Canis lupus familiaris: one gene and its partners. The protein of the gene in region 3 purifies or fractionates together with the protein of the main gene of each other region. This does not show direct contact. Links are inferred from orthologs where the notes say so. Each region holds a gene or a part of one and is shown on either strand. Other genes may lie near its edges. The genes, in order: SIAH1, CDH10, CTNNB1, ZMIZ2, RAC1, FHL2 and PKM.

Region 1 (4,186 bases), on a different chromosome or scaffold from region 3:
ACCCATCTCCTTTAATCCAGACAAAAGCTGCGTGAGGCTGGAAATTTTGTCCCCATTTTATGGTTGAGCAGGTGGTGAAGACTAGGTTTGGATCCAGCTGTGTGTAGGAGACTCCAGAATGATGCCACTTTTATTGTCCTGACTCACTTGTTGAGAGGTTTGTCTGTAGGTTAATGGTTTTCAGAGACTCTGTAGGGCTCTGTAACCTCTTTCGGAAGTTTGGGAAAAGTGATCCCCCCTCCCCCCCATCATTCCTTCTCTTTGACTTGTTTTATACATTTAGGTTCAGTTTTAACTCTGGAAAGGCAGGGATGCCTAAAACATTTGAAGTCGTCTGCCCTATCAGCCTGAGACCGCTCTAGGGTGAATGTATTAGGAAATGAAAATGTAGGTAATAATAATTTATATTTGTCAGTGAGCAGACTTTATCTAACTTCATCCATATTTCTATTCCCAATGATGTTTCATGTAGCCTAATATTAACGTGAGGTTGAAATGACTGAATACAATAGGGTCTGGAAGTGATTGGAACTAAAATTTGATTTGGAAAATGGGTAATCTACAATTTACTGCACAGGGTTCATTCCCACCATGAGCTCCTGCTGTGCGTTTAAAGGCTGCCCTATAAGCATGATATAATGACAGGTTAAACCCCTGAGTGTACCACCTGACGCAGGGCAAATCTGAGGCCCAGGACTTTATTGGGGCCCGTGTAATGCTTCTTTAAAAACACAAGCTTCTCTGTTTAATGAGGCCATTTAAGATGGTTTTCCCAGACTGGGAAGAGAATATAATCTCAGTTTGGAGGTTGAAGGAGTTTAATAGAGTTACGGGTGTTTACTACTCTCACTGCAATCTATTCGAAGGAAGAGAAGGAGTTTCAAGTATGATGTCACCAGGGATAGAAGTGGAGGAGTGAGTTAGAATTGAGGAAATCGGGTCGTTGACGCCCAGTATATAGTGAACGAAGTGGGGAGAGTGCTTTTACTCTATGAGCACAGTTCACACATGGTTAACCAGGAGAAGAGCACTTTTCTGGCCACGTAATTCTCATATACTCTATGTAGGTCTTAGGTTGAAATCATACAGAATTGGCAGCATCTGTTTTCTACAGAAAGACATGTTTCGAACTAAATGTAAGCTTGTGGAAATGGGTGAGGTTGCAGTGTTGCCTGGGGTCGAGGGCAGGGTCTGGGTTGTGCGGGGCAGCGCCCCAGCGGCCCTGGGCTGGGGGGCGGGGCTTGCGGGCGTGACCACCGCGCCGGCCCCGCCCCGCCCCGCCCTGTCCGGCCCCGCAGGCCCCGCCGGCCCCGCCCCGCGCTCGCTGCGGCTGGGCTGGGCTGGGCTGGGCTGGGCGCTGCGAGCGGAGGCCGGCGGGCGCTGCGGGCTGGAGCAGGCTCCCCCAGCACCGCCAGGCCCAGCCCTGGGCCCCGCGTGGCTCTCCGGCGGGCCGGACCCTGCGGCAGCTCCGAGCTGGCTCCGGGGTGCGCCTGACCAGCCCCCGCGCACCCTGCAGCCCCATCCTTCACCCACGCTGGCGGGCTAGTGAATGTGGGGAAGACAAACTTCCAGGGCAGGCGGTTGAGGGCCCAGCGGAGGACAGCTCCGGTGATGGCGCCCATTTTTGGAAACGCAGGCGAATTGGAGCTCGCGGGGAGGTGTGGTGGACTCCTGAGGGGACGGGAGAGGCTTCGTTCCTCTGCTGCTGCGGCAGCCGGTGCTTCGGAGGAGTGAATGGGGGATCCTAGAGCAGGGCGCTTACCTTCGCTGCTTGAAGACTTGAACTCCGACGTGCTTAGGAGCAGAACGTGTCCATCCAGCAGGGCCTCTGTTACAAATCGTGTTTGCTCCTGGGGGAAGGGCTATGAGCCGCCTGACTTCTCATGACCGGGAAGTCTCCCTTACCTTTTCCGTACTCCTGGAGGGGCGTCTTGCTCACATGTCTGCCAGCAGCTGGGACAAGGAAGAGAAAAGGTATTGACACCAAGAGACTGGGATGCTTAAAGTATGAACCGGGAAAAGTTGTGAGCTGGGGGAATCGGGATCAGGGAGTGGCTGCAATGTAATTGAGCTCTAGTTTGCATTGCTGTTTCTTTTGATCTACTGTACTTTTCTCTGTTTAAACCAAGCTTCAGGTTACGTCATCACTCCTGCAGGGTTGTCTGAAGACACTTGAGTCCGTGGTTCCTACTGCAGGGCTGCTCTGTGGTTGGGGTTCTTTTTGTTTGAAGATGGAGCTGGGTTCCACCTTTGGTGCTTTGGGAGGTTTTAGCACCTTCTGTCCTGTAATACCTCCATTCGCAAGAAATACCGGCCTCATTTCACTTGTTTTCACTCTTTAGAGATTTAAACTGTTTTTTTGTTTTTTGTTTTTTGTTTTTTTTACAATGTTTGCAAAAGTAATAAAGATAATATTGGAATGTAAGCCTGAATGATTGATGATTATGTATAGTTATTTGCTCGGTCTGGAAATGAAACGATAGTATTTTTCTTGCTTATATTTTCCTAGTTCTATTATTTTGAATACAAGCCGAGTTTACTGTTCCTTGATGTGATTAGCTTGTTTGGTTTAGTAATTTGAAAAGGCATCAGTGGTTTAGACTGTTTTGTGTGCAGGGAGCCACTTTCCAATTCTAACATTGCTCACATAAGTGAGCAGTATAAAATGGACCACGAGACAGGCATACAGCATATACGTGGGGCATTTTGGCAAGGCTGAGCCCGTTGTTTCCAAGTGGTAGAAAATGCATGGATCATCGTACTCACAAAGAATCAAACACCTGGGTTGTACAGTGTTTCAGGTGATGAGAATTGATTCCCGTTGTCCCTTAAGTCCATGTGACAAGCCACCTTATGGTGGAATTCTGTACTTTTGTAGACTCTTGAATTGTAGAATATTAACTTTAGTTGACAGTGGACTATTTTTTTTGTCACCTTCAACCCTCACTTGGTGTCTATCCTTGAGTAATCTAGAAGTCCAGTTGCTTTTATATAGTCACATGGGTAACCAGCGTTGTTTTCTTAAAGTCAGGTTCTTTGCAGCAATAATGATTACATTGAGGAAGCATTAAATTTGAGGCATTCAGTTTTAGTTTTGTTAGAAATATGGTTTGTATAGTTGTTGGGAATACAGTCTTGGGACATCAGTAGACTGATCTTTTGTTATCCCTGAGACAAATATGGCCTGTCATATCCTAACAAAGTAGATTCCTGGGAAAGGTATTTATTTGCTTTATCTTTCATTTAGCCTGACAAACTAGTTACATTGTTGTCGTTTCTTCCAGATGACATTTATCTCAAATAATATTTATTCCTGTGCTGATGAATGCTTCAGCAACACTAGTGAACCCTAGGATACAAGGAATTCTTAACCTGTTTACTGTCCCCAATGTTGCATGTGTCTCTGGTGTTTTAATCTTTATTCTTTAATTACTTCTTTTCTTCCCCTTTTCAAATTATATGTAATTTTATTGTGCAATGGAAATAGAGTAGAAAGATGTACTTTCTCTGAGTACCTAAAAACTTTTGAGATTACCCTCCATTTCTCTTCTCTTTCTCCCACCTTTATTATGGGGCCTACTGATCAGTAGGAAGTAAGATTAATTAACACGTAGCTGGTGTTCAGATTCTAGGGGAAGACTTAATAGATGAAGGTGCATGATGGGATGGCAGCAGATCCTTCCCCTGACGACCCCTCCATCCCTAAATCTACAACTGAAGCAGATAACTGTTTGCCATTAGGCGGAGTTAATCAGAGCTGATGTCCTGGGTGATCCTTTGGATTACTTGTGACTGACTCCCTGTCACTGTTTCGAGCTGCCTTAGAATGGAAAAGAAATGGACTGAGCAGGGCAATTGAACACCGAGGGAGAGGGGAAAGTTCAGTGAAAACAGCTTTGGTTGAACTTAAGCTACTTAACACAGGGTTTCTTAGTTGTTTACAGTCTGGTTTCTGTTTCAGCATTTATTCCATATTGTATAATTCATCCAAAGGGATTTTTTAATATTTTTTTAAGAAAGGGAATTCTACATGTGTTTTGGGACATTTTGATAAAAGAGATTTTATCTGGTCCACAACTCCTATAATACTCAAAATGCATAATTCGTGTAATTTGTGTTTTTTTTTTTTTTTAAATCCTTTACTCTTTTTGCTCACAGTATGTTTTTCATAAAACTTAAGTATTTC
Region 2 (3,500 bases), on a different chromosome or scaffold from region 3:
CAATCATTCAACTTTGAACTCTTAAATTGTCAAGTGTGGCATCATCACTCTCGTGTAAGTATGACTGTTAATGTTTTGTTCTTCGTTTCCCACCTTTTTTCTACTTTAAAGACCATAAAGACTTAAATTAATAAACACTGATTCATGATTCCTGACCTGTTTCAGGCTCCACAGAGAAATATGGCTGCCCTTGGAGTATGCTGTAAATAACTCTGGCGCTGTTCCCGTAGGAAGGGTCATCGGCATCTGTAGCTGTGACTTGCACCACAGAAGTACCTGAAGTATCCAAATTCAGCTTAGTTCTGCACAGTACCAGAAGGAGGAGCAAAAGCACTGGTTTTCATGGAAGACTTGAATGATTTTTGGCTTTTATAATGACCTCTTAAAGAAATATTCATGTATAACTGACATGAAAATCATACACACAGTGTTATTACAGGAAAATTGTGAATTCAGCTGTATATTTATTTAGCCAACAGGTATATTTTTATGCATGCACAGAGAAGACCACAATGTGTCAGATGATAATAAATGCAGTTACTTTACAAGTGCTCAGGTTTGATATTTAAATTCATTTTCACATAATAGATTTGTTGCGTGTAAAGGGCATATCTGATCACAAAGGAGTAGGTGTTCTTCTCTTTCCTCCTCTCCACTAATTAACTATAAAAATAATTAACATCTGCTCTAGAATACAATTTTATGAATAGATTAAATTCCAGATTTAGAAACAATCCAAGATGATCCCAAGTTCCATGAACTATTAAAAGCAATTTAATAAAGTTCAAGAAATATAAAGGGGCTTTATAATAAAGCAATTGCCAAAGTCCTTGGGATTTAGGGAAGTAAATATTAAATAAGAATCCCAGAACAATGCTTTTGAGAAATGCAGAGTTAAAAATGTGCTGTTATAACTGTTAAAAGTATCAGAATTATTTCATCGGTTTATATGACTTCTCTCACATTTGAGAAATAAATCTTTTCTATTAAGTCTAAACATGTATCTCTAAAAAATGTTATCATTGTTTCCTAATATGTATTTTTGTCATTCTCCACTTAACAAAAAAGAAGTCTTGACTTCTCTGCTTACAAATACAATTTTCATTTATTTCCAGTGAAAAAGAAAATGCTGTTATCTTGAATGTTATACTTATAGCTTTTTCATGTCCTCTGTCTTATAGATCCTACAACCTAAATTTTAAATTCTGTATCAGTATGTGATTATGGAATTTCAACTGGTTTATTTGAATAACAGATTTATATCAGCAGAGTTTTATATTTAATGATTATAATTAAAAGATGTTTTGAAATAATATGAATCAGGTAATGTAATCAATGCCACCTTTTGTATTATCTAGATAACCCAGACAAATTCTTTAGACAAATTATAACTAGAGTATGTATGCAAAGACTCTACATCTACAATGTTCTGAACGTGCTTATAATATATTTGAGGTCAGAATTTTACACAGCTATTATACAAAGCTATGTGACAAAGATGCTATATTTTCATAGTTTTCTACTGAAGTTCAGTGGTATTTTCTTGGGTTTTTGAGGGGTGTATCTCCTTATTTGTAAAGATTTACAAATCCATAGCATGTAAAAAAATGATTAATCTTTTTTTTCTCACTCATTTTCTACTTGAGGAAATTAAATAAGTACTCTTAGGAGGGAATCAAAGAAGATGTCAGTTAACTGATCACAGTATTTTAAAAATTTCTTGATAATAATTTCTTATACTTTCTGCATACCATGATAATTCTTATAAATGAACTTACCTACGACGGACATTTCTGGAACACTAGCTGTATAAATTTCTTCTGGGAACGTTGGCTCATTGTCATTGATATCATGGATTTTGATCACAAACTCAGACTCTGGTTCTACTGGTCTCAAAGTTCTTCTGTTAATAGCTTGTGCACGCAGTGTATAAAAGGCCTTTTCTTCCCTATCAATTCTTCTTGTGGCATGAATGTCACCTGTTTTTTCATCAATAATAAAAAGAGTACCTGCTCCATCTCCAGATAAAATATATTTGAGTGATCCATCTCCTTTATCTTGGTCTGAATGAAGCTGGGGGAAATAAAAAAGAGCATATCCATGATAATGTCTAAAGGTACATAATGCTGAAAGAATTCAAAGTCTCTCACGTCCCAACACAGAATAATGGGGTCAGTTATCTTAGTTCTTGAAATGAAAGTTGAATAAGTATGAACACACTCATCTATATATCTTAAACAATAAGACTAGCTTTTCACATATCTGTGTGATTTTTACTCTAAGTGGATAAAAGTAATAAAAATAAACCAAACACAGTTCCCCTCTTTGCTTTGCTTGGCAAATAACCATTTTCATAGGCAATTAACTCCTGACAAAGACATATGTCATCAGTCTTGACATGCTGTGTAAACATTACTTCTCTCATCTCTTTCTGTGAGTGGAGAATTCTTTTACTCTCATATTATTGAGGAAATGCTTATAAACTTGTTATTTGTTATTGCATTTCCATTGGAGAATTAGTGATATTCTGTAAGACAGGCTAAGTTGTATGAGATATAGCTCCTATGTTAGAAACACTATGTATTATTTTTTGGTTCACACACACACAAACAACTGCCCCACAGGTAGGTTTGGAACTCAGGGAAAGAGTACAAATCGATGTCTATGTTTTAAAATTATAAATCAAGTTAATAAATTCTACAATAAATTATGCTTCTCTGTAGGCTCCTACCTTGTCAAATCTAGTTTCTTCATAACCTCAAACAAGTTTTGTGCAGGAAAAAGACAATGCAAAGCAAGTCTGTTTCTTGCCCTTTGCTTATGCCCACAACACTCATCTTTTAGAATTCACTAATCACGTCAAAGAGCTTTGCAGGAATTCATGAGGACTTCTCAGGCCAGTGTGCCACGCATCCCAGTGCAAATGCTATCCAGGATTCCATGGTTTCATGGGTAAATTCCATCAATGCTGTATTTTAACAGATGCCCACTAGGACTGCCCCCAGAGTTAAGGACAAATATAACAGTGGATACGTCTGGCCTTTGGGTGTTGACCTGAAGAAAAGAATCTCCCTGGACTTAGAAGCAAGCCCAGGGATGTTTAGGCAGGGAATAATAGTTTCAAGTACCTTGAGTATGTTCTGGAAATTGATGTGTAGGTTCCAGGTATGAATAGCCCCTGCTCTGCATAGAGTTCTTACCCTGAGTGGTGGGGCTTAGGTGTAGGAGGGACACAGCATGGCTTTGTAAAATACAAGGATTATAAGTTTTTCTTTAATTGTACCACCCAACCAATAAACATTTTCTAGGCTGGGATCATAGTTTGATTATTTACAATAAGATTATTTTTTTAATTTTTAATTTTGTTTTTATCATATCATGAACACAATATGTAGATTTTCTAAACTTCCATAAGTATTTATTATAACTTAGACATCCTCACAAACATGTTTTTTTTAATTTACAAATTCATGTAAAATGTAGTCATAAATCAGAATAGG
Region 3 (4,029 bases):
CCCTGAACCCCATTACCCCAGATTCCCATACTGGGACCACGTTTAGCCCCTCTTACACCATTCCACTCAAATTCAGGCATCCCAGTACTCCCAAGAATATCTCAACTTTTCCCCAATATTCTTCCTCTCACACTGATCAGAACAAAAGAAACAGAAACCATGTTGGTATGCAACAGTACTGTCCATATATCAATGGTATATCAAAGCAGATTTCTTGAAAATTTGAGCCAGAACAGGTGCTTAGAACTCCTAATGATTTGGCTCTTGGCTTTTCCTAATCATTATTCACCTACTTAAAATGAAGTATCATAAAATAATTACTCATTCTTGCCCTTTACTTTCCTGCAGACCCCTACTTCCAAACTATCCTGATTTTCTAAAAACAAATCTCCTCACTTCATGCCTCTGCTGATACTGAACTGCTTTCCATTACTTTTTAAAAACATATTCTACAAGGCCCTGAAGGACCTTCCCTGCTAATCTCAATACTCTCATCTCAAACCTTTCCTCTTCTTTACTCTGTAAATTCATCCCTCTCCTCTCTCAGTAGGACTTTCAAAGGTGTCAATTCCTCTCTCTCACCTTCACCTAGTCAGTCTTTCCTCATCCTTGTGAACTGAACTCCACTATCACTTCCTTCCACTGGTCTCTCTAAACCTTCCAAGCAGGGTGTGGTTCACGTATATGCTATCACAGCCCCTCTACTTCTTCCAGATACATGAATTAAATAGTAATTAGGTTATTATCTCTAATTAGTGCCTATCTTCCACCTAAGTATGAAAGCTCTAAGTATGCCCACTATATCCTTATCACCTAGCCTTATATAAACAAATATTTAAAGAAAAAGAGATGTCCAGCTTTTTTTCTAGGATACACACAAAGGGTGAGGCATACAAAGAATGTGCAAGAGTCCACAGAAGGACATGACACTGGATTCCCCAATGCTCCATGAGCCATACTCAGAAAAATTCTTTTACCTTGCTTTCTTGATTCCCGTAAGCTAAAATCTGAAGGCAGTCTGTTGTAATAGCCAAGAATTTAACATTTGTTTTGTTGAGCAAGGCAACCATTTTCTGCAGTCCACCAGCTAAACGCACTGCCATTTTAGCTCCTTCTTGATGTAATAAAAGGTTGTGGAGAGTTGTAATGGCATAAAATAATACAGAATCCACTGGTGAACTGGGAAGAAAAAAAAAGCCTCATCAGAAAGGCTGTGATGGCACCCTTCTCCTCCTTAGCTTCAAGCATCCTAACCATGTTTTCTTACCCAAGCATCTTCACCAGGGCAGGAATGCCCCCAGACTTAAAGATGGCCAGCAAGCCCTCACGATGATGAGAAAGATTGTGCAAGGTCCCAGCAGTACAGCGAGCTGTTTCCACATCATTTGTATTCTGCATGGTGCGTACAATAGCAGACACCATCTGAGGAGAACGCATGATGGCGTGTCTGGAAGCTTCCTTTTTAGAAAGCTGATGGACCATAACTGCAGCCTTATTAACCACCACCTATAATGTATAGGAATTAAGAGACAGAATTATGATTTTCAAATACTGATACCGGATAAACATTCTGAGGCTCCTTGAGAGTTTCCTTTAAAGCAGATTAAAAGCTAGCCATGTCCTTACTTACCTGGTCCTCATCATTTAGCAGTTTTGTCAGTTCAGGGATTGCACGTGTGGCAAGTTCTGCATCATCTTGATAGTTAATCAAATTTACAACTGCATGTTTCAGCATCTGTGATGGTTCAGCCAAACGCTGGACATTAGTAGGATGAGCAGCATCGAACTGTGTAGATGGGATCTGCATGCCTTCATCTAATGTCTCAGGGAACATAGCAGCCCGCACCCTCTGAGCTCGAGTCATTGCATACTGACCATCAATATCTGGAAAAAATAAATTCAACACTCACTGTCCATAATTCAGCATTCACCTGAATTTGTGCTACCCTAAGTGGTAAAGGTAACATTACAATCACTCCATGTTTTCTTTACCACACCATTTTATTTAAGCTATTACATACTAACTTTTTAAAGAATCATTCTTAAAATTGCCTTCTAACTTTTATTAAGGCAATAAAATACTTACCAGCTACTTGTTCTTGAGTGAAGGATTGAGAAAAGCCCTGTTCCCACTCATACAGGACTTGGGTGGTATCCACATCTTCTTCCTCGGGATTGCCTTTACCACTGAGAGAAGGAGCTGTGGTAGTGGCACCAGAATGGATTCCAGAATCCAGGTAAGACTGTTGCTGCCAGTGACTAACAGCTGCTTTTCTGTCTGGCTCCATGGCCATGTCCAGCTCCATCAAATCAGCTATAAAAATCAAACAATATTAGCATTACCACCATGGAGATGTTATATTCATTAAAATATCTGTGATGACCCATTGAAATATTGTTAGAAATAGTCAAATCTGAAAGTCAGCCAAGAATAAACAACGATAGCCAGGATTAGCTCAGTGATGAAATATCTATACTCTTAAGGGACCACCTAACAGTTACTCACTGAATTAGTGGAAGAATGGTACTGCATCCAGGCTCCAGAAGCAGTCATCCAGACTAGATTCCTGCTGGTGGCTTGTTTGCTATTTCACCAAGCCATTAGGAGGAGTGAGCAGAAAATGGAGCAAAAGGTAGCCTGACAAGTAAGCAGGGAGAGAGTAAAGCAGGGGGATCTGAGCCAGACTGGGTTAATGGCAATGAAGCAGAGCCCCGATTCAGTAACTAAAGACTTTTGATACAAACCTTGGGTAGCCATTCCCCACACAGGATTTTCAAAACCGTTGTATGGTGTGCTTCAGGTACCCTAAAAGAGTTAATCAAGTCATTAGGATTTAAAATTAGTTTTTAGTACTTTTAAGTCACTAGGATGACCTGCTAAACATCATGGATTATATCCACAAAAAGCCCCCAAATCCCCCTTTACCATGTGAGAGTGAAAGCCAGACTCCATGGTCTCCTTAATACACTCCCCACAGCTCCACCACTGCTGAACCTCTTTTAGTAAACACCTCTTTTTAGGTAGAAATACAAATTACAGTTATTCAGGATGTCAGAAAGCTTAATTATTGTTGAGGAGGAAGAAAATTTATAGTGAAAGCCAAGGTAGGAAATAACTCCTCGAATTCCCAAAATACCTCTCCCCTCTCTTTTTAACTTCTTTCACTGAAAAATTCAGAGATCTTTCTGGTGAGACTGGACATGGACTTTAAAAAAAAACTAGATTTTCACTAATGGTTTTTCTTTCCTGATAGAATACAAAGACATCTAAAATACAAAGTAGGTTTTGCTGACTGGATCAGAACACTGGGTTTGAGATCTGTTACTAACTAAAATTACTTTTCAAATGTAAATCTGCAACACAATAATCACCCTTTTAGTAAAATCTGTCTAGTTCAAATTTATAGTATGGATGTATTATAAATACAACTATTACCGACCAGAATGCTGTTTTGATCATTACAAAAAATATATATATATTACAAAAGTACTATATATATAAATACATAATTTATATATATGTAAATCCTAGCATCTATGTTTACATTTTGGCCTCACTGTGTAATAGGAAAACACTGAATCACATGGGAAACTACTTGCAAATTAGAACTGTGGGTCTTGTAAAGGCTCACAACCACCAGATATTCCTAATAATAACATTTCCTTTATCACAAAGTATTCCCGTAAACAAGTTCATCTTACACTACAACTTAACATATTGGTTTACCAATATGTAAAGATATGGACTAAAATATTTAAGCATGAAGTGAGTACTCTATCCATGTAAAAAGGAGTTTAAATGTTTAAAGAAGTTGGAAACTACACTCTGAAGTCCTATGTGCTCTATGTAAAGGAAGCATGTGTTAATTATTCCTAAAATTGCTCTTGCAGTACTAGATTTTTATAGCCACAAAGGTCACTTGATATGTAAAGATAACAAGAGTTATGGATACAATTGTTTAGTGTCCACAGTAGAAACACAACTGATGATCTTTTTTTACATGACAAAATGAAGGTCAGAAAATAATA
Region 4 (4,129 bases), on a different chromosome or scaffold from region 3:
TTCCCTCAAAATAAAAGTTTAATGAGAAAACCGCCGCCGCTTGGCCTGTTCTCTCCACTGAAATGCCCAGGGCCACCCTTCCCTACAACAAAGCTGGTGGGGTTGGCCAGGCCCACTCTGTGGTTACAGAAGCAAAGGGTGGGTGGAAGACGAGCCCCTGGCCAGGTGGGGGAGCACCACTGAGGACTCCCGCGGCCCCAGCTCCAGCTCCGGCGCATCACACACAACTGTAGGACTGGAACTGAGGACCCGCATCCCTAACGAGCCTGGGTGAGGATGCTGCCGCTACAGGGACCCCAGGTGGAGAGTGGGGGAGGCAGAGGCTACTGGTCTGGGGCCCCAGGACGACTCCTACATCACATGGGTCGGGGGAATTCCACCCCAAAGGCTGCTCTGCTATGGACGAGACCACAGAGATTTCCAGTTCCCCCTGAGCTGACTGCATGCATGGGTGTCTGGGTGTGCAGGGCGTGTGTGTGTGTGTGTGTGTGTGTGTGTGTGTGTGACTTCCTGCCAAACTAAGTCTGGTCTCCTCCTTGGGGAGACCTGCACTCTCCAAGTTGGGTACCCCATGGCCCTCTGCTCCCGACAAAGGGAGAGCCCTGCTCTGAATGCAAGACCCTCCTCTCACTTCCTGGCCTGAGAGGTACAGCTGGAGAAGCCCTGGTGTGTGTGTGCGTGTGTGCCTGAGTGCACGTGCGCACAAGGAGGCCCGAGCAGGCCTGAGGCGGGGGCCCTTCTGCTGGTCCGAGGCTCTGCTGTCCACAGCTCCAGCGGGAAGCCAGGACCCCTCGGCAGAACCGCCCTGGCACGTGGTTAGCCTGGAGCTTTCTCTGGGTTGGGTCACATCTCCCAGAAAGACGGCTACAGAAACTCGCTACTCAGACCCCCTCCCAGGGCCTCGGAGCAGCTGCACCCAGTCTCCTGGGTGCCAACCACAGGCAGACGTTAATGTGGGTCAGCTCTCTTGCACCTCTCCTCCGTCCCTGCCGCCTGGTCAGCCAGGAGCAGCACACCCCATGACAGGCCACCTGACCTCGGAAAGGCACGCCTGCTCTGTGGTCCTGGGGCAGGCACTCCGGCAGCAGGGAGCCTGTGCTTCCAGGGCACGTGTCCAAGCAGAGGGACACCCAAGTCTGATGGGCTTGGAGAAGGTGGAAATGGTGGCTCAGTGAGGCAGGACGACACAAGGGGGGGACTCACATGCTTGGATGGCTGGAAGTCCTGCTGCTCTCCACGTGAGGCCACAACACCGACCAGCCTAAGTGCTGGAGCCCATCTAAAGCACCCAGGAACGAGCACTTACGAAGGGCCTGGGTGCACAATGGGTACGTGGCAGCCACCCTAGGAAAGCGGAGGACACACACCTGCCATTCTGTGCTCAAACCCTGAGTCCTGTAGTGGACGCAGTGCCAGTGGACACTTCGTGAGGAAGTCGGGCTGTCCCTGGAGTCCTCCCCAGGCGCACCCTGCCTGCCTGTCATTACCTTCCTCCTCCCTGACCTCTGTCCCCTGCCTGTAACCAGCCCCTGGGCATGACCAGTCCTCAGGCCCAGTACCTGCTGGGGGAGGCCAGGCCCCCCTCTCACGAAGCCTGGATGGAGGCCCGAGGGCTCTAGCTCCCCAGGAAGCGGTGGCTGAGTCTGCTCACCCTCCCTGCATCCACCACCGTCCCCCAGATCAAGTCACACGTTCCGTGTATGCCCCTGCGAAACCGACTTACAGACGTGGCTGTGGATGGTCTGCAACCATCAGGAACAGAGCTGGGCAGGGACGGGCGCATCCGGGCCGGAGGGGAGCAAGCAGGAGGGAAAGGAGAGCGGGGCAGGGAGAGAGGCAAACGGGGGTCCTGGGAGAGGGCACCCTCCCGCCCCGGCGACGGCGCGGCTGGGACGAGGGGTGTCCCCTTAGAAACAACGGCGGGAGGCTGAAAGGTCAGCCTGCTCCGCCGGCCTCGGGCGGCCCCGCGGCCCCACGCCGCCCAGCTGGTGGGCGCGCACGGCCCAGAGCCAGCCCGGAGGCGAGCCCGAGCGCGGCGTGGCGGCGGCGCGGCCAGGCGGGGCGAGGGCCCCGGGCCATCCTCCCGGCTCGGGAGGTCGCCGGGGCCGCGCACACCCCTCGGGCGCCCGGCCGGCTTCCAGCCCACCCCAACAAAGGCTCAGGTGAGGGCCGCCCGCGCGCCGGCCGGAGGGCCCGAGAGCACGACGCGCACGCGGCAGGTGCGGCAGGTGGGCGGCGGGGCCGCCTCCACCCCGGCCCGAGCCCGGCAGAGGCGCCGCAGCGCGGGCCCCGAGCGCCGCACCTGCCCGCCGCGCGCACCTGCCGCACCTGCCGCCCCCGCCGCCCGCACCTGTCCACCCGGCCCGCTCACCTCCGCCCGGCCTAGCCCGGCCCCTCGCCGCCGAGGCCCCCGGCCCACGCCGCTCCATGCGCTCAGCCCGCCCTCCGCGCCGCCCGCCGCCGCGGGGCCGCCGCCGCCGCCACCCGCGCCATCGCGCCGCCGCCCGCTCCGAGGGCACAATGGAGCCGCCGCGCCGCTCATGCATATGCATGACGCCGCGCGCCGGCCCCGCCCCCAGGCCAGAGCAGTGGATCCCAGAGCCGGCGCTCGCGCGGGGCGGCCGCGGGCCTGCAGGAGCCCGGGCTGCAGGCCGGGCCGGGGGCGGGCCGGGGGCGGGCCGGGGGCGGGCCGGGCAGCGCCAGCGGCGGCGGACCACCACCGGCGCCCCCGCCCCCTCCACACCTGTCCGAAAGCCGTGTCTGCGGAGTCCCCCGCGCGCCCTGCAGCCTGCCACCGGGGCGGGGCCTGATGGAGGGGCGGGGCCTGGCGGAGCGGCGGGGGCGGGCGGCGGCGACGGGGCCTGCCGATGGGCGGGGCCTGTCAGGGAAGGGTGTCGGAGCCCGGCTAGGGGGCGGGGCCTGGCGGAGGGGGCCCGGTCGAGGGCGGGGGCGGCTGGAGGGGCGGGGCCTGAGTGCGGGCGGGGCGGGTCAGACGGAGGCCGGCCGGAGGACTGGGGGCGCGGGGGCGGGGCGCCAATCTGAGAGAGGCCGGGCGGAGGGGAGGAGCCCGGCTGGGGGCGGGGCCGGCCGGAGGGGCGGGGCCTCCCGGGGAGAGATGGGGCTTTCGGGGGAGGGGAGGGGAGGGGCCTGGCAAAAGGCCGGCCTTCCGGGGGGTAGGGCCTGGCTGAGGGCGGGGCCTCCCGGGGCCGGGGCCGGGGCCGGGGCCGGGGGCCGGGGGCCGGGGGCCGGGGGCCGGGGTCCGGGGTCCGGGAGGGGAGCCGGGCTGGCCGCACGTGCTGCTGCGGTCTCTGGGTCGCTGCGCCCCTTTAGCGGACCAAGCGCCGTTTCTTATCCGCTGGCTCCTCCACGTGCTACTATTACCCTTTAAGTCCTTTTTTCTGCCCTGGCTTTAGGGAGACCATGTTCTTCCAGTCACCCCACAATTCATGTTTTTTACTGTGCCAACTACACGTAAGAAAATGTATTTCAGGGCAGCCCGGGTGGCTCAGCGGTTTAGCGCCGCCTTGAGCCCAGGGCGTGATCCTGGAGCCCCGGGATCTAGTCCCACGTCGGGCTCCCTGCATGGAGCCTGCTTCTTCCTCTGCCAGTGTCTCTCTCTGTCTCTCATGAATAAATAAATAAAATCTTAAAAAAAAAAAAAAAAGAAAAGAAAGAACGAAAAGAAAGAAAAGAAAGAAAATATTTATGGTGCCAAGATCTTCCTCCAGGCTACAGTTCATTATGAGCATAGGATAGTATCTTAACTGGGCCCCTCGGTGGCTAAGTGTCTGCCTTTGGCTCAGGTCATGGTCCTGGGGTCCTGGGATCCAGCCCTGGGTCTGGCTCCTGGCTGGGTGGGGAGTCTGCTTCTCTCTCTGCTCCTCCCCCCGCTCACGCTCTCTTTGTCAAATAAATAAATGAAATCTTAAAAGAAAAAAGAAAAAAAAAGGAAAGTACCTTTACAAGAAAGATGCCCATCAGACACCACCTGGCCCAAAGGACCAAGTCAGCATGACCCTGTGTGGGACCCAATAATGTCTGTGCCCCTGGCGAGATGTCCAAGAAAGGACGCAGAGCCCCTCCTCCCCGCCTAAGTGGAAGTGACAACCATAAAGTTTTTACCTGGATC
Region 5 (3,500 bases), on a different chromosome or scaffold from region 3:
CACTGGGGACAGAAGTTTCCTAAACATACTGAAGACTTCGAACCATTTGGGGATTATGAGCTGACTTTTAAAACTTAATCACAGTTAATTTTTAGCTGGAGATTAAATGAGGCATCACTCATTCAGACTTAGCATTTTATGGGTTTGGTCTTTATTGAACACTATTACTATAATGTAGCAAAAATCCACAGTTCAAATTAATTGTATTTGAGAATTCCTCCAGCTGAAAAAATAAACACAAAAGACAATGACTGTTGCATGGAAAAAACTTTAAAACTTTAAAAAAGGAAGGGGGTGGGGGGAATAGCTGGCTGGCTCAGTTTGTTGTGTGTCCTGAGTGTCCAACTCTTGATTTCAGCTCAGGTTGTGATCTCTGGGTCATGAGATTGAGCCCCACACAGGGCTCTGCACTCAGCAGGCAGTCTGCTTGAAGATTCTCTCCCTCTGCCCCTTTTCCCCATTTGCACATGCGCACACTAAGTTTAGGGGCCCCTGGGTGGCTCAGTTGGTTAAGTGTCTGACCCTTGGTTTTGGCTCTGGTCACGATCTCAGGGTCATGAGATCGAGCCCTGCATCGACCCCTGCACTGAGTACAGGGTCTGCTTGGGATTTGTTCTCTCCCTCGCACCCTCCCCCTACTCTCGTGCTTTCTGTCTCAAATAAATCTAAAAAATAGAGTTTTAAATTTATTTTACTAAATAGAAAGTTAACTTTAAAAAACTCCAGAATGTCTCCACCTGATCCTCCTCTGGTCATCCTAGCTTGCTGAGAGCATGTACAGCAACTTCTGTTCATTTGGGCCCAGCCAGCTCGGACTTGAAGAGCTGTCCAGATCTATGAATCTTCACCTCAGCTACACTAGACTGTCTGTGATGTGCCTGGAACTATTCAGTGTGCCTTATACTGATTGCTAATCTAATCCTAGGAGAAAACAGGTCATGACTAGAGCTGTGAAGAAACCTGCCAGGGTCACAGAGCTAGGAAGCAGAGCATGGGATTTCAACCTGACAAATTCACTTGACTGCCCCTAGAGCATTTTCCTTTGGCCAGTGAGTCATCTGAGCCTCTAGAGTTGGTTTAAAACACTTTAAAAATGACTAACAAACGTGTAACAAGATAAGCAAATGGTACAAATAAGACAATTGCTTATTTCAAGTAAAGTGGTTTCTAAGCATATTTTAACCAGCTATTACTGATTCACTTTGATACACACATCATTTAAAATTCTCTGAAATGGAAGCAAAACTAATCTAGAAGTTTTTCTGACTGGACACAGTGGACATATTTTTACAAAACCGAAACCTGAATATACATTGAGAAGACTTAGATACTAACGCTGTAGAAAGATGAGCATGTGTTTTATTAGAAAAATAATATTAATTCCAAAAGAGAAGTCATTAACTTGATTTTTAAAACCTTAACTGTTTAAATTGACTCTGTGGCACAAAGCAAACTGATCTTAAAAGTAATTATTGTTGAAACTGGTTTGCAAGAACAAAACAGTACCTATTTCATGCGGCTGTCCTGAAATTAAAATGAAAGCATGTAGAACACATAGCACCATCGTTAGTAGCTGGTAAGGCTAAAAAATTAGAAACAAATCCTTGGTCCTCATCTAGGACATTCACTACCGAACTTAACCTTGCTACTAAAGATGGCAATACAGCTGGCCCTTGAACAACGCGGGTAGTTAAAGGTGCTGACTACCCCCTATGCAGTCAAAACCCTGTGTATTACTTTGACTCCCCGAAACTTTAAGAAACAGCCTGCTACTGACTGGGAAGCCTTACCAATAACATAACCAGTTGATTAATACATGTAAAATATGTTATGTGTAATATACACTGCATTCTTACACTAAAGTAAGCCAGAGAAAATGTCACTAAGAAAATCTTGAGGAACAAAAAAAAAAAAAAAAAAAAAACCAGAAAATCTTGAGGAGGAACTATGCTTACAGTACCGTAATGTATTTATGGAAAAAAAGTCCTGGTGTAAGTGGATCTCTGCAGTTCAAACCTGTGCATTCAAGTGCCAACTGTATAAGCAAACCTGTAGGTGATACGCAATTACACAGTCAAAATTACATACTCTAAAGGACACATTAAAAAGCAGTCATGATCCTTACTGTTTGCGGATAGGATAAGGGACGTAATCTGTCATAATCTTCTTGTCCAGCTGTATCCCATAAGCCCAGATTCACTGGTTTTCCATCTACCATAACATTGGCAGAGTAATTGTCAAAGCTGTAGAATGGAGAAAAAACACTTTAGCCCTGGAACATAAGGCATAGATGGGGGGTTTGAGTGACTATCATAGCAAGGGTCTCAGAGGTGTGCCAAGGCCAGGAGTGGCCTGGAGGCTCCCCTGAAAGCAAAGGTGCCAGCATGCAGGCACAAGGAGCCAGAGCAGCCACATGGAAGGAGAAAGGGCTGCAGGGTATGGGGAAGGCGAAAACACTGCACCTGGAGAAACACGCCTGGGACAGACACAAAGGACAAGGTAGTCCACTGAACTAAAACAAATGACTGTCAGCAAGAGAAAACCTTTGTTTTTAATGAAGAGAACATTAAGATTTTTCTCTCCAGAAAGAAACAAAGTATAAATTAGTCCCTCTCTCAAACCCACTTGTTGACTTGTGTACACGTTACTCATCTTCAACAAGGTGGCATACCACAAAGCCATACTCTACAGTGCTTCCAGAACACCCGCACTAAGTGCAGGGCAATCACCATCAAGCCTTGGTCACCGAGGCCTGCAACCAAACTGCTATGGTAACACAAAGCAATGCTTTGAAAAGTTATGGTGTGAGGCGAGCCTGCTTCTCCCTCTGCCTGTCCCTGACTCTTTCTTCTATGAATGAATAAAATCTTAAAAAAAGAAAAGAAAAGCTATCATGTAACATTTCAAGAGTGAGTATACACATGTACTTAAATTAACTTAAAGTTGTTACACAAAAACTAGTTAATGATAAGAGGCAGCCCAGAGAAGCCTGGCAGGCAGAAAATAAGGTGGACTTAAAAAACAAACAAGAATCACTAAGTACCACCAAGTACTTCACTAAAAATTAATTCTGAGGACGCCTAGGTGGCTCAGTGGTTTAGCATCTATCTGACTTTGGCTCAGAGCGTGATCCCGAGGCCCTGGGATTGAGTCCCACATCCGGCTCCTCGTGGGGAGCCTGCTTCTCTGCCTAGGTCTTTGCCTCTGCCTCTCAGGAATAAAATCTTGAAAAGGAAAAAAAAAAAAAGAAAAAATCTGGGATTGCAATTCAAACCAGGGCAAGTACCAAACAAGACACAATATATCAGCCTGTAAGATAAAATTCAAAATCATTTTTACATACTCTCAACTCTCAACACTAAAACTTAGGGTCTTGTTACATTGAGACAGCAAAGCAGAGGTCTGCGTAAGGCTCCAATGTGGTTTACAGAATGGAATGACAACTAAATACCGTAAAGAAAAAGCCTCATGTCTTGCAATTCTGCCTCTGTGAGAAAAAT
Region 6 (3,500 bases), on a different chromosome or scaffold from region 3:
CCAGTACCATACTGTCAATGCTTTTTTTCTTGTAACTTTCTGAATATTTTTTTTTTTTGCTCTACTTACTTTATTGTAGGAATACAGTTTAGGATACGTATAACATACAACAGCTGTGTGCATCGATTATTTATGCCACCGGGAAGGCTTCTGGTCACCAGCAGGCTACTAGGTAAGTTTTTAGGGACTCAAAAGTTCTATGTGGTTTTTCAACTGTGCAGGGGGGTTGGTCCCTTTCAACTCTGTGTTGTTCAAAGGTCAACTATATAAAGGCCCTTACATACTACAGACATTATATCCATTTTACAAGTGAGTAAACTGAGACCCAGAGAAATTAAGGGACTTGCCTGAGAATTTGCTAGCTAAAGACAAAGCAGGTACTTGGATTCAGGAGTCTATCATATATTCTTTTCTTTTTATTTATTTATTTTTAATTTTTTTAGAATTTAAATTCAATTTGCCAACATAAAAAATACGGAACAGCTTCACAAATTTGCCTGTCATCCTTGTGCGGGAGCCACGCTAATCTTCTCTGTGTTGTTCCAATTTTAGTATATGTGCTGCCGAAGTGAGCACCGTATATTCTTTTCATTAAACTATAATGTATTAATGATCTTCCTATAAATTCCCGCCTTGGAACAGAATTTATGCAAAATACATTCAGTGGCAAGGTGTCTGTGTGGACAGAGAAGGTGGGTGTAGTAAGAGGTTTGCTCTACGTGGAATCCACACTCTTGTCCTCTCTGCACCCACATGCCCACCCGCACCCCGCATGGCCCAGCTGGCTCAGACATGCTCGTGGGTGTCACTGTCCCAGAGCAGCCCTCCCTAAACACCAGCTTGGCTCCCACTCCTCCGACTGGTTCAGCTGGCCCCTGTGTACGCTCTGTTACGACTGTTTTCCTCCAAAGCACGCTTGTCGATAAGCACTTGAACGTTTGCCACCGAAGTGTGTTTCCCCCCAGGCCCTAGTAGCCCCGAGCACCTCCTGCGCTGCGGGAGGGTGGATGTTACTGGTGTGAATGCTTCCACCAGTCCTGATGAACACCCACAGGGCTGTGCTTCCCGGAGGATGCATTACCTTCACTTCTGCCACCGAACACAGTAGCAATAAGGTTGGGAGGAAGATAATGCAAGAAAAGCAAATGACGTGAACTTTCCGTGGATCTTGATGAGAAAGAGCAAACCAAACAAAAAGGGAGTGAGCAGAGAAGAAAGAGGCTTCCTGACATAAACACAGGAAGGAGCGATTCATCTAAGGAGGAAGCGAAAAACAGCAGAAAAGTAATATAATCTTACGAGTAGAAGTTGGAAGATGTGGAATTTAAAATCGTAGTTTAAAAAATGAGACGGACACGAGGCCGAGGGAGACGAGAGAGCATGAAGGCGAGTGAGCAATACTCTGCCCTTTGGAAAGGCGCCAGCAGGTCGGGCATTCGAGGTCAGGCCGACCAGCAGAGGGAACAGCAGCCGGGCTCTTCCGCAGACGGAGGCCCAACAGCCGCGTCAGTGAACAGGCCGGAGCCAAACAGGCTCTGCGATCGCTCCCCAGCAGGCCCTGCCAGGGCAAAGGACGGCAGGCGTGGCGCTCCTTTTCTGCCTTTGACTAATGGCCGTGACAGCACGGCACGAGATGAGCGGGCTGGGTGCAACGAGTGACCTGTCCCCTGTCCCAGCCACAACTTTCCTTTGCTTCTCACATCCCTCCCTCCCACGAGGTTCAGCAGCTCGTTTCTTGTCTACTGATGGAGGACAGTGTAACAGGAGCTCTGGGATAGTAAGTTTTCCTCCCCTTTAACGTCATGTCATGAATAGGAGCAAAAACTCGGCAGTGCTCTAGGAGGGAGGGCTACAGGCTCCCATCTCAGGTCCCAGTGGCCCTTGTGCGGTCAAAAGAAGGCCTGGGATGGGGGTCCTTCCAGTGGATAAAATGCACACGTGCACATGAGAATTTTGGGATGCGGGGCCGGACAGGTGAGACTCTTGTGCCATCCCAGTACCAAGGGTGTTGTCCCCGGGGAAAGGGGGCTGACAGCCAAGGCAAACAGACTGGAATACACGAGGTCCCGGGGGAGGTGAGAGCTACCTTTTTACACTGAACACACTGCAAGGCGTACTGTTTCTCATAGCAGGGCACACAGAAGTTCTGGTTGTCCTTAGGGATGAAGCTCTTGGTACCGATGGGCTGCTGGCAGCGGTGGCAGGTGAAGCAGGTCTCGTGCCAGCTGCTGTCTTTGTACTCCATCTTGCGGGTACCTGGCACAAGGGGCAAGAAGACGGCAAAGAGCAGAGCTGACGACATGACAGGCCTGCACTCCCAGCGCCCCTCGTCAAGAACCTGCCACCACCTAGTTTTGTGACTGTGGCATCACTGTGGCTCTCAGAGGCTGGCCTCCAAATGGGACTGTTTGGGAGTGGGCAGGGATTGTGTATTTTTGGGGGTTCACTGCTGTACACCTTGCTCCCAGAACAGTCTCTGTGCATACTCGAGGTTTATTTGTCCAGCAGGGAGGTAATGAACGTTAGGTGGGAAAAGGATCTGTCACTCCATGTCTCAGTAGGCAAAGCAGAAAGAGCAAGCTGGCCTAGCTCAGACCAGTCCCAACGGAGTGGGACACAGCCCTGCAGCCAGTTAATGAGCACAGGATGAGGGACACCTGGGTGGCTCAGTGGTTGAGCATCTGCCTTTGGCTCAGGTTGGACCCCGGGATCCTGGGATCGAGTCCTGCACTGGGCTCCCTGCAGGAAGCCTGCTTCTGCTTCTCCCTCTGCTGCATCTCTGCCTCCCTCTCTGTGTCTCTCATGAACATAAATAAAATCTTAAAAAAAAAACAAAAAAAAAAAAACACCGGATGGAAAGTGGTGGTGCTGTACACGAACCTAGAGTGTCAAGCCTGATCCCATGAGGAGCCTCCACACCGACCGATCACCTTATATGGCCCGAGGTGTAAACCAAGCTGCTGGGTCTCCACGCTCTCCCCGCTGCACTGAATGCAGCTGTTAAAAGCCACAAGTGATGCCCGGATGGCTAATTTAGCAATTTTCTGATTCTAATCTTGTGACATTGCATTTCCTTTCGAATAACTGTTGTCGTGTGCTATGTTTATGTGATTTCTTCAAGTAGATGAAGAAGTCCTAGAGAACGGAAATGCTGTTTGGTTCACCCCCACCCCCATCCCCACCCACCCTTGAACCCGCCCCTGAGCCGGAGTCACAGCAAATGCTCAGGATTTGTGGACATTTTCCAATACTTTTCCAAGAGAATAAAAGTATGTGTATTTTACAGAAAGAGGTGACAGATGTGTTCAAGACAGATGCGTATGCAAGCACGCTTTGCAGGCAGCAACAAGGTACATTTTGCGGGGAAAGGAGGGTAAGAAGTGAAAAAAAAGAAACGTGCTCTGAATACCTGAGCCAGCCGGGGAGGACGGGGGTGCTGTGGCTGCGCACAGTCTGTGCCGCCCCCGTTTTGCAGCTGGGCTTTTCCTGGAGCGCAGCCG
Region 7 (3,500 bases), on a different chromosome or scaffold from region 3:
CCCGCCCGCCGAGGTAGCCAGACTGGGTGACCCTTACTGCCTCCCACCACAAGGTGGCGCAAGCCGCCCAGCCCAGGGACCAGGGAGGCCCCGACTCTTCCTCATCAATTGAAATGGCAGCTGCCGGGGACCTTTGGACATCATTTTATACTCTAGAGGGTGGAGTAGTCCCTCTCATGCACGGACATCCTACTTTTATTAGGGACAAAGGCCATGAGTACGTGATCTGTGTGTAGGACACCCCATGATGTAACGCTCTAATCTTTTCTTAACCCTCAACAAGGAGCAGATGCCCAAGAAGGGACATTCCTGACTATCCAGGATCCTTTGCTTTGGGCCCCGGATGGGAAGACAGAGAAGTGGGCAGCTCAGCCCCAGAACTCCAAGGCTCCTCCTCCCTCCTGGGCTTAGCCCAGAACTTCAGGGAATGGGAAGGAGGAGTCAGAGAACGTTCCCTGGGAAGACAGCTAGGACTCTTGCACACTCCAAGGTCAGCATGTTCCCCTTTCTCTAGGATCCCAGGGAGATCAGTGCCCAAGCACCGTCCCCACCCCTCCAGGCAGGTGCTAGCCCTTGCTCCCAGCCACGCACCAACATTCATGGCCAAGTTCACCCGGAGGTCCACGTCCTCAGCCCAGGCCTCCTGCACTGGGTCCTTACACACCACAGGGAAGATGCCGCGGTACAGGTGGGCCTGGCGAGCAGTCTGGTGGTTCCGGGTCACAGCGATGATGGGGGCGCGGGGGCGGTATCTAGCCACCTGGTGAGCGGACCTGCGACAGGATGACGGCCAAGCAGAAGAGACCATTAAACAGTGTTCCAGAGCCTCCCAGAGCCCCCCACAGGGCCTTCAGCAACAACTCAGCCTCTAATCCAACTCATTCTGCCAGCATCAGACTCTGGCCACTTTAGCATCTGCTCCCCGTGCCAGGGCTGCCCCTCGTCCTCCACCTTCCGAGGAACAGAATCCGACTCTTCTTCCTATGCTATCTGTCCACTTGGCTTTTTACCCCCCTCCCCACAGCCCAGGGCCCCAGGATCACACCGACCCGGCGCGGTCAGTCTCACCCACTCACCCCACACGACTCAGTTGGCAGAAGCCCCTCCTCTGAACTTTCCCATCCTGGCACAGATACAGCCCTGCCCAACCTCACCAGCACCCATTCCTCCTGCTGCCAGCAGCAGCTACAAGCCAAGCAGCATGTGAATAGCACCTGACTCTTGGCATCTGCAAAGAACAGCAGCAGAGCTCACCAGCCCCCCAGGGAACCTACAAAGCCAGCCCTCTACTGCTGTGCCCTCTCCCCCAGCCTACATGGCCCCCAAGTCCCTAAAACAGTCCTAGCAACCCAGCTCTAGAGCCAAACCTGGGTATTACCCAGGAGGCTAGACCAGGAGATGGGAAGGTTAATGTGGGAGGCTCTGTCTGTGCAGAGTCCCCTGGAGGGTAGAGGGCCCCTCTGGGCCCCAGTGCCACATGCTTCCTTGAACATTGTACACTTGTGGCTGTAGACCGGTCTCAGGAGCTGGGGAGGGGCTTGCTTGCAGGAGGCACTGGGCGTCGGAAGGCAAGCCCTAAGGACACCGACAGGTGTCAGGGAAACTTAAGCCATGTCACAGCAGAGGCTGCCCTGCTAAAGGCCTGGCCCCCATACAAGGCTTCAGAGGGAAGCAAGTGCTGAAGTCGGGACTGGTTAGAGTGAAATCCCAGAAGACTGGAGCTAAAAATAGCCAAAGAGCAAAGGCTGGACCTTTCCACAAAGGTCAACCCTGATGGTTGGAGCTGTTTATCCGGAGCCCTCTGCTGAGGTAATCTGCACAGATCTCATGTCCCGGTTCTACACGCAACCCCACCTGCCGCACCTCCATGCTCGGGGACCACCAGCCTGACCCCATCCCTTCCCCTTCCAGGAATTCCTGTGGCCCTGCAGGCAGGGATGAGGAGCACACTCCCAGACTGGGGCAATGACAGAGGCTGACTCCATGTCCAGATGAGGAGGAGATCCCAAGCCAAGGCCAATCAGCAGCCTCAGCTCGGCGGCCCGACACTAGGGTGCCAGCAAGATGACGTGGTGACCTTTCCTAGGCCTGAATCTGCTTGCCTTTGGGGCTCAAAGACAGACAGAGACAGGTGCACCAACCCAACAGCACGTCAGTGAACAGCACTAATCTCCCAAACTGAACTTTTAAAGGGCATGTAGTGGCTGGAATGAACAAAACTGGTCATCAATTACTTTCTTAAAAGATGAACTTTCACATACTCAAGTGAGCATGTGCAGTCTGTCGTTCGGCAACGAAGTCTCTAGTCTAACCTCGGGTCCTCAGGCCCAGGTGGCAGGCAGAGGGGCTTACCTGGGCTCAGGGCCATCTGAGCCCCGATCAACGCACGGCTCTCGGGACGCCCAGGGAAGGTGCCCCGAGCAGGGCGTGCCCTGGGAGCCGCTGCCACCTCCTACCTGCCAGACTTGGTGAGCACGATTATGGCCCCGCTGCAACACTTGAAGGAGGCCTCCACGGCGCCCACGGCGGCGGCTTCTGTGGGGTCGCTGGTAATGGGCGCCAGGCGGCGGAGTTCCTCAAATAATTGCAAGTGGTAGATGGCGGCCTCTGCCTCACGGGCAATCTAGGGGAGCAACATCCGTCCAGAGGGACAGGAGGGGGACAGGACTGTCAGAGCGGTGTCGCACGGGAGACGGAGGGGAAGAGGCTCACAGACAGCTGGTGAGGGACGTGTCCCCGGACAGGAGGCCAAGAGGCGGCGGACAACTGGAGCCGCGGACCCGCGCAAGACCAAGGTTCATGGGAACTGGCCCATCACCAGGTGCCTGTGGCAGCCACTGTGCCTACCGAGCCGGAGGCCCTTGCGGTCCTGCCCTGCCCTGACTCCCTGGCTGGCTTCCTGCAGACGAGGAGAGGACTGGAGCCGGGCCCCAGCTGCAGGGCTGCGCCCCAGCCGTCTTCTAGATCAGCTGGAGCAAGAGGCTGGTTATCCTACGGAGTTACCTGCCCTTGGGGCCCTACCTGCCAGACTCCGTCAGAACTATCAAAGCTGCTGCTAAACACTTATAAGAAGCCTCCACGCTGCCCATGGCCATGGCTTCCATGAGGTCTGTGGAGTGGCTTGAGCCTCGCACAAGTTCTTCAAACAGCTTGCGGTGGAACATGGCTGCCTCAGCCTCACGAGCTATCTGTAAGGTTTGGAGGGGGGAGGAGAAGCAAGAAGAGGGAAGGAGGAGGGAGAAAAACGAGAGACAACACATGGAAAGACAGAATGGGGAATTAATCAGAGGAAGGTAACCTTAGGTTAATTGGCTAAATCTGTCCTTCATGCAGATGCGAAGAGGCAGCATGATGAAAGCCCAACTGCTCAGGGATGGCTGGAGAATTTCCAGCATCAACTGCTGCTGTTTCCTCTCCAAAAGAGGAAAAATGGGGTTTTCCATTCTGGAAGGATTTTCTGATTGGGGGTGGGGGGGTAGAGGGAGACAAGATGGCGGCAG

The links.
Region 1: the proteins of CTNNB1 (region 3) and SIAH1 purify together in Homo sapiens (affinity purification with western blotting; 4 studies listed by BioGRID). This does not show direct contact. The link is inferred for Canis lupus familiaris from reciprocal best matches to the Homo sapiens genes CTNNB1 and SIAH1.
Region 2: the proteins of CTNNB1 (region 3) and CDH10 purify together in Homo sapiens (affinity purification with mass spectrometry; 3 studies listed by BioGRID and IntAct, with this or other methods). This does not show direct contact. The link is inferred for Canis lupus familiaris from reciprocal best matches to the Homo sapiens genes CTNNB1 and CDH10.
Region 4: the proteins of CTNNB1 (region 3) and ZMIZ2 purify together in Homo sapiens (affinity purification with western blotting; 3 studies listed by BioGRID, with this or other methods). This does not show direct contact. The link is inferred for Canis lupus familiaris from reciprocal best matches to the Homo sapiens genes CTNNB1 and ZMIZ2.
Region 5: the proteins of CTNNB1 (region 3) and RAC1 purify together in Homo sapiens (affinity purification with western blotting; 4 studies listed by BioGRID, with this or other methods). This does not show direct contact. The link is inferred for Canis lupus familiaris from reciprocal best matches to the Homo sapiens genes CTNNB1 and RAC1.
Region 6: the proteins of CTNNB1 (region 3) and FHL2 purify together in Homo sapiens (affinity purification with western blotting; 3 studies listed by BioGRID, with this or other methods). This does not show direct contact. The link is inferred for Canis lupus familiaris from reciprocal best matches to the Homo sapiens genes CTNNB1 and FHL2.
Region 7: the proteins of CTNNB1 (region 3) and PKM purify together in Homo sapiens (affinity purification with western blotting; 5 studies listed by BioGRID and IntAct, with this or other methods). This does not show direct contact. The link is inferred for Canis lupus familiaris from reciprocal best matches to the Homo sapiens genes CTNNB1 and PKM.

Annotation. Positions count from the first base shown.
Region 1 is NC_049223.1:65,986,453-65,990,638, forward strand, and holds the start of SIAH1 (E3 ubiquitin-protein ligase SIAH1), read left to right. Parts: upstream 1-1,386; 5' UTR 1,387-1,883; coding exon 1,884-1,974; intron 1,975-4,186. UniProt on the Homo sapiens protein: E3 ubiquitin-protein ligase that mediates ubiquitination and subsequent proteasomal degradation of target proteins.
Region 2 is NC_049225.1:82,132,518-82,136,017, reverse strand, and holds part of CDH10 (cadherin-10), read right to left. Parts: intron 2,074-3,500; coding exon 1,779-2,073; intron 277-1,778; coding exon 157-276; intron 1-156. UniProt on the Homo sapiens protein: Cadherins are calcium-dependent cell adhesion proteins. They preferentially interact with themselves in a homophilic manner in connecting cells; cadherins may thus contribute to the sorting of heterogeneous cell types.
Region 3 is NC_049244.1:10,789,144-10,793,172, reverse strand, and holds the start of CTNNB1 (catenin beta-1), read right to left. Parts: upstream 2,801-4,029; 5' UTR 2,759-2,800; coding exon 2,746-2,758; intron 2,315-2,745; coding exon 2,087-2,314; intron 1,885-2,086; coding exon 1,631-1,884; intron 1,507-1,630; coding exon 1,268-1,506; intron 1,180-1,267; coding exon 978-1,179; intron 1-977. UniProt on the Homo sapiens protein: Key downstream component of the canonical Wnt signaling pathway.
Region 4 is NC_049237.1:14,026,627-14,030,755, forward strand, and holds the start of ZMIZ2 (zinc finger MIZ domain-containing protein 2), read right to left. Parts: upstream 2,801-4,129; 5' UTR 2,744-2,800; intron 2,456-2,743; exon of another isoform or gene 2,372-2,455; intron 1,746-2,371; exon of another isoform or gene 1,724-1,745; intron 1,345-1,723; exon of another isoform or gene 1,204-1,344; intron 1-1,203. UniProt on the Homo sapiens protein: Increases ligand-dependent transcriptional activity of AR and other nuclear hormone receptors.
Region 5 is NC_049227.1:11,830,575-11,834,074, reverse strand, and holds part of RAC1 (ras-related C3 botulinum toxin substrate 1 precursor), read right to left. Parts: intron 2,244-3,500; coding exon 2,126-2,243; intron 1-2,125. UniProt on the Homo sapiens protein: Plasma membrane-associated small GTPase which cycles between active GTP-bound and inactive GDP-bound states.
Region 6 is NC_049231.1:39,109,777-39,113,276, reverse strand, and holds part of FHL2 (four and a half LIM domains protein 2), read right to left. Parts: intron 2,257-3,500; coding exon 2,087-2,256; intron 577-2,086; exon of another isoform or gene 469-576; intron 173-468; exon of another isoform or gene 80-172; intron 1-79. UniProt on the Homo sapiens protein: May function as a molecular transmitter linking various signaling pathways to transcriptional regulation. Negatively regulates the transcriptional repressor E4F1 and may function in cell growth.
Region 7 is NC_049251.1:36,154,083-36,157,582, forward strand, and holds part of PKM (pyruvate kinase PKM), read right to left. Parts: exon of another isoform or gene 3,189-3,500; coding exon 3,022-3,188; exon of another isoform or gene 2,624-3,021; coding exon of another isoform or gene 2,457-2,623; exon of another isoform or gene 1,912-2,456; intron 1,810-1,911; exon of another isoform or gene 774-1,809; coding exon 592-773; exon of another isoform or gene 1-591. UniProt on the Homo sapiens protein: Catalyzes the final rate-limiting step of glycolysis by mediating the transfer of a phosphoryl group from phosphoenolpyruvate (PEP) to ADP, generating ATP.